Xenopus tropicalis: one gene and its partner. The protein of the gene in region 2 binds, or shares a complex with, the protein of the main gene of each other region. Links are inferred from orthologs where the notes say so. Each region holds a gene or a part of one and is shown on either strand. Other genes may lie near its edges. The genes, in order: rap1a and raf1.

The links.
Region 1: the proteins of raf1 (region 2) and rap1a are in contact, whole or in part, in a crystal structure (PDB 3KUC), measured with the Homo sapiens proteins. The link is inferred for Xenopus tropicalis from reciprocal best matches to the Homo sapiens genes RAF1 and RAP1A. Residues at the interface, in NP_001341619.1 of Homo sapiens: Thr57, Arg59, Asn64, Lys65, Gln66, Arg67, Thr68, Val69, Val70, Lys84, Lys87, Val88, Arg89, Gly90; in NP_001010935.1 of Homo sapiens: Val21, Gln25, Ile27, Val29, Asp33, Pro34, Ile36, Glu37, Asp38, Ser39, Tyr40, Arg41.

Annotation. Positions count from the first base shown.
Region 1 is NC_030678.2:59,473,981-59,477,810, reverse strand, and holds part of rap1a (ras-related protein Rap-1A), read right to left. Parts: intron 3,152-3,830; 5' UTR 3,119-3,151; coding exon 3,062-3,118; intron 2,043-3,061; coding exon 1,974-2,042; intron 150-1,973; coding exon 93-149; intron 1-92. UniProt on the Homo sapiens protein: Counteracts the mitogenic function of Ras, at least partly because it can interact with Ras GAPs and RAF in a competitive manner. Together with ITGB1BP1, regulates KRIT1 localization to microtubules and membranes.
Region 2 is NC_030680.2:153,469,238-153,471,757, forward strand, and holds part of raf1 (RAF proto-oncogene serine/threonine-protein kinase), read left to right. Parts: intron 1-455; coding exon 456-574; intron 575-1,135; coding exon 1,136-1,267; intron 1,268-2,238; coding exon 2,239-2,373; intron 2,374-2,520. UniProt on the Homo sapiens protein: Serine/threonine-protein kinase that acts as a regulatory link between the membrane-associated Ras GTPases and the MAPK/ERK cascade, and this critical regulatory link functions as a switch determining cell fate decisions including proliferation, differentiation, apoptosis, survival and oncogenic transformation.

The DNA of each region.
Region 1 (3,830 bases), on a different chromosome or scaffold from region 2:
AGCACAATGTGGCCCTTGCATTGATTAGGCAAATACAGCCTATTATAATGCCAAATTAATTTTAATTTTTGTTAGAAAGAAAAATTCCTTACTGTTCCAGCTGTATCAAGGATTTCAAGCATACATTGCTGTCCTTCCACTTCCACTTGCTGCAATTCAAACAAAATGCATCTTGGTTAATTTCAAACATTATGTAATACAAGACTTCACAACAATAATATTTTTATACTAACTACAAGAAATAAAAAAATTATAAAGATTTTTTTTTTTTATATCTGACCAAATTATGAACAGTCTTGTAAATGCTGCTATTCATGTAGTAGGTCTTTTCATATTTGCTACAGCTTTAAGTGAGTGCATTAACCCTTTGAGTGTCACAAATGGAGAAATCTATATCGCTGTACACCCCACATTCGCACATCAACTTACATCAAACTAAAAAGTGTTTCTTTTTAGTTACAATAGTGTGCATAGCTTTACAGATATTTTTGACAGGGGGCACTATACACCTATGTATACTATAGGAGTTCAAATAACAGGTTAAACATTTTTTAAATTAAGAAATGCACCGGCCTAGAGAAAAACTGACACTAAACTGCAATCTTACTTGGGCAGCAAAATGTAAAATAGCTGTGCAGTGTCAGTTTTTTCCCTTAAATGCACTGATGTAAGGGAAAAACAGCTCTTTAATTTGTTCTTAATGAACACAGGTGTATATTGTTCCTTTTATGTTTGAAAAAGTTGTAGACATTTTTCTACTTGGGTACCTCCTATTACACCATGGCCCATTATTTTAAAGTCATGCATTCAAGTCCAAGGCTATGAAATGAGGCATTCCGACCGTCTGCTTCTAACTGAAAAGCTTGGGAAGAGCTCCGCCTTTGGAAGAAGTTGGCACAGCATTTCCATTGTTTTTTTTTTTTAATCAAAAGCAGTGACAGATTATTTCTGTGTGAAATTACACTATTCATTAAAATTACTTGCATTGAATGACATTTGCATAGTTGCACTGTGTCTGTCCTGCCTCCTATTGTAAATATGGCACATGCACACCTACTGATGTTGGGTTCCCAAAGCAGCTAGCATCAAGAAGCACAATGTATATGCACTAAATCATGTACAGATATTATTTTGACACTGAGCACTACCCCCACAGACTTGTGTTGAAATTACATGGCGAGTACTTGTCATGCTAAAGGTGCCCAAAAATGCATCAGTAGGCTTTTACAGACAGCTGACTTCTGACAGAGAATGACAAAAGGAAGAGGCTGAGGTCGATCAGTATCTACTTAATGTGAATATTTTAGATAAGGACCACTGATCATGCTTAGCTTTGTACTATACAATGAGAAGTAGAAGATATAGGAGGGGCAAGCACAGACTCTCTGGAAAGCCGAGGGACTTCAAGTCCCAGAATTTTATATTTCAACAGGAAGTGGCTGACTCTGCCAGCCTAAGATGCTGGAGTGGGGAAATGGCATCTGTGAGTTGAAGGCTTCCTCTCAGTTTGTGGCCATGTGTCTTTTATTTCCTTTAACACAGAGGTGAACAAGTAAAAGTTGCCATACACTGGCAGCTTTTGACCTTGGAAACTTGTTAGCCCATGTATGGGGCTTACCAACAGCCTACCCGACCAATATCTGGTTGGTTTGATTTTCCTGTCGGTGTGAGGACCACATCCGCATGGAGCTATGTGGATAGAGGCTGGCTATACAATGGACAAATACAAAAGCAAAAATACAATATATAAAAGCAAATAAACTATATACAAAGCAAATAAGCAAATTTGTTACAAAAAACAAACAAACTGTAGAGGTACTGGAAAGTAAATTTAATGTGAATGAGAGGTATGCTTCCTGCTTCTTTAGGTGGAAAATAGGTAATATTTTAAAACTAACAATTTATTTAATGTAAAGTAATAAACACTAATACAGAATATGTAAACATGTTAGTACATTTAAAATAGGTATTACCTTTCTGTATGAATCTTCTATTGTTGGGTCATACTTTTCCACAAAAATACCTTGAACAAACTGGACTGTCTGTAGAGAAATAAAATGTATGAAGAAAATTACACAACAGACATGTTTAACCACATCACCTGCAGCAGCTAAAAATAAACCCCATTAACTGGGGGCGGGGGATATCAGCCATTTATAAAATGCTGGGGGTACAAGCCAAGGAGCATCTCTCTGTGCTGGGCATCTTAGAATTTAATTTTGCCATGAGAGCTTTACTAAACTACACCTTATAGAACAGGTGTTCTGGTGTGAGGACCATGAACATTTCTTGTGGCAAGTACAATCTCTAGATCTGTATTTCAGCCCACTGCTTAAAGTTTTGCAAAACTAAAGTGTGAAGTAATTTCAGCTATGAAATTATTACAACAACCCCTCTTACAAACAACTGGAATTTTTGTCTATTATAGTCTATTCTTTCATCTTTACTTTATTTTACAATACAACACAGGCCGTATCCGAGCTTTTATTAAAAGGTAAATATTGTGTAAAAACGAGAATGTGCCAGTGCATTATACTTGTCTAAATACTGAAGAAATGTGCTTTAAAAAATGTGTGTTTCCTGCTTTTTCTGGATGTGCAGGGGGACCGGCAGCACTCAGCACTGTAGGATAGGAATCAGCAGGTAAGTGGACCTGATAGGGAACTTAAGCCTGTATTGTGTGACTGCAGAGCTGTGATTGGCTATCCTCCTCCTATAGCTCTTTTGGCAGGGACCATTAGAACACGCCCAACTCCTTATATGAAACATCACAGGGATGTAGCAGATCTATAGAAACTCCAATAAAGGGTTCGTTTTTAAGGAAAATGATCATTTTAAGCCCAGAGTGAAATCAGCACCATATATTATTCATTACTGCCTACAAGTTTAGGGTGGATTTTCATTTAAGCTATACGTCTCGTTAATAATAGGCTACATCAAACCATGATAGATATTAACCTATTCCCCTTTAAAGAGTAATTATTTTTATATGGGCTAATTGGCTGTATTATGTAAGTTAATTATGACATGGCCAAATATACATATGGAAAGCTCAACTTACCAAAGCAGACTTTCCAACACCTCCAGAACCAAGGACCACGAGCTTGTACTCGCGCATGATGGGATTATTTTTGTTTCACAATAGTGTAGTCTAGAGATGAAAAAACAATGTATTTAGTTTTAGTATTTTAGGAGCTTACAGCACGTACAGTAAAAGTCTAACATTTTGTGAGAAAAAAAAAAAAACAACCACCCTTCTGCTCTAGAGGATTTTAATGTGTTGCTTAGACAAACAGAGCGGCTTTCACTGCAAAAATCCTTGGTCACGTGCATGTCTGACATCCATTCCATGTATTAGCACCTAGGCTGACAGTGCCTGTGGGTACAGACGAAGGGCAGCCAGAGGAATCAGCTCCATGTGGAACTAGCCTTAGCTTTGAAACCTCTTATTGGACCCAGATTAATGTAACTTTGATAAATAAGTATACTTTAAAGCTGCAAAGTAGTTGAAAATAGATGAAGTTCCACTTGTTTCCTTCACCATTTCACAAAATAACTCCTTATGAAACAGAAGTCCTGTGTTGATAGCTGGATTTTTTTTTTTTAACAACTGACTGTACAAGGAGGAAAAAAGGGACCAAGTCGGCAACCTACAGCTCCACACAGCTCACTCCAATAATGATCATGTAAGTTAAACAACTGTCTGGCATAGGCTGTACTGGGCTACTGCTGGTAAGACAGACAGAAAAAAGTGAGAAATAAAGAAATCCATAAAAATACGAAAGTGGAAATGCAGAATGGAAAAAAAATAAAAGCAGAAGAGAAGGAAA
Region 2 (2,520 bases):
CTATATACTGTATAATGTAGTGGGGGGTCCCTAAGCGCAGGTAACTGACAGCAGCACAGAGCATGTGCTGGGAATCGGCAGAAAAGAAAATGGGGGGCTACTTGGGGCATCATCTGGGGCATAGATCTCCCCAGCTAAAGGGGGGTGGGGGAACATTGGCTGCTGTTGGTGGGAATAGTTGCAGTTGGTCACCTTTAACATGTAATCACATTTGAATTAATCCTGCGGGCCCCCCTTATAGATATTTTATCAGGGAGCAGGTAATTCTTGGGTGCTGTGGGGCAGGATGGGGGAGCAGTTGTTTGGTGCCTGGGGGGCAGTTACTTTCTGCTTATGTACTTGGGTACCATGATATCCCGCTCGGAGCCAGTAATGACTCCTGTGACTGGGCATTGGTCACTGTGCAGCATGTGACCTTGTCAGAGCTCAGTTGTGGGCCTTGATTCGCTGGACAGATATCTTTCTCCATGAGGGGTTAACCGTGAAAATCGGAGACTTTGGATTGGCCACGGTAAAGAGCAGGTGGAGCGGTTCCCAGCAGGTGGAGCAACCGACAGGCTCCATACTGTGGATGGTAAGGATGGGGCTCTGTAATACAGGGCTACTTGTGGGCAACTTGTAGGGACTGCCCGGGTACAGCTCATATGGGGGCACTGGGAGGGGCACTGGGAGGGGCTTCTGTTTTACCTGGAGCATTTAGAGAGTGGCGGTTCATTCTTTGTATCTGGCCTATGGGAGAGAGGGGGCTGAGCTGTGTCTGCCTCTGATTGGATATAGTTGCCCTGTGATGTGGCCCTTACAGGGGCAGAACAGATATTGGGCCCATTTCTACCCAATAAACACAGGATTATTTGTTCCATTTGTGTCACTGGGTTTCTGCATCTACTTTTAGGACTGAGCTTTTAGGTCACATTCATAATATGGGGCGGGGAATTGCTGGCCACGCCCCCAAGCAGATGGGCTGTCTCTCCTTTTACTTAGGGGCTGTGACGAATCAGAGGCTGCCTTTCCTTCTTGGGGGGCACAAGGTTTAAGGCACCCCCACCTGTGGATGCCATAGTTACTGTATGTTCCACTGCATTAACCACTAAATGCCCAAGGTTTGTAGTTAAACTGCCCCCTGTCTGCCCCACAGGCCCCAGAAGTGATCCGCATGCAGGACAATAACCCCTTCAGCTTCCAGTCGGACGTCTATTCCTATGGGATCGTGCTGTTTGAGCTTATGACCGGGGAGCTGCCCTACTCCCACATTAGGGACAGGGACCAGGTGAGTGACACCTACACTGTGCGCATCAAGGACTACTTGCCCTTTAATTGACTATTATAGTGCATACGGTAATAATCTCAGGCAATTTGCATTTGGCCTTTATTTTGTATTTATTGTGATTTTAGGACTTTCAGCAGCTCTCAAATTTGGAATTTTAGCAGCTGTCTGGTTGATAGGGTCAGATTTCCCCTAGCAACCAGGCAGTGATGTGACTGGGAGATGAATAAGAATAGGACTGAATGTAAAGAAAAGGTCTAAACTGGAGTCGCACAGAGCAATAGGCTTTTGGCTGCCGGGGTCAGTGACCCCTACTTGAAAGCTGGAAAGAGGCAGAAAAGGAAAGCCTTTCCAAAACTATAAAGACCAATTGAAAAGTTGCTAAGAGTGGGACCTGATCAATTACATTGTAGAAGTTTCCTTAGAGGAACACTGTACCCCCACACTGAGCCCCCAGAGCGTTTATATCATAATATGGGGCCAGTGACAGACTCCCCAAACTGCCTAACACCCATAAACATTGCCCTTGCCCCCCTGTTTTGTGCTGTGCTCCCCCAGAGATCACCTGACAGGAAGTAGTGTGGGAATAAGAGACCGATCTCTGCCCATTCATTGGCTGATGTGGCCTAGCCTGTGTGTGTGCCCTGTGAATGGTATAGTGCCCGGGGCGGACACACCAGTCTGTATGAAAATGGTTTCTTTAGATGAAGCACGGGAGTTACGTTATTTGGGGGTTTAGTTTCCCTTTAAAGGTCAACTGCCCCCTTCAAGGTTCCTTTTAAAAGGAAACATTTAATTTAGGAACTCCCAGCACCCCTGATGGATTCCTAATGTATTACTTGTTCAGGAGGCTTCTGGCTCTGCTTGCTGAGAAGCACCCCCTACCTACCTACCTACCTACCCTTCCTGGATACGACTTACCCCTCTCCTGTGCCACTGCTCACAGCCCAGTAACTTCTTTCCTTTGCTCTTAGATAATATTTCTGGTTGGACGAGGAGGGACGGTCCCCGACCTGAGTAAGCTCTACAAGAACTGCCCCAAGGCAATGAAGCGTCTCGTGGCCGATTGTATCAAAAAAATGCGGGAGGAGCGCCCCCTATTCCCTCAGGTGAGGTGCATAGACCTGCATTGCTCTATTGTACAGTGCCCCCCAATGTCTGGGTACTGTATCTGTAACCTTGTTATGGGCTAAGGGGGCCCAGCCTGAAGGCCAGTTAGGGGGGGATTTGGGGTGAGTGGGTATTTGTGCCCTGGG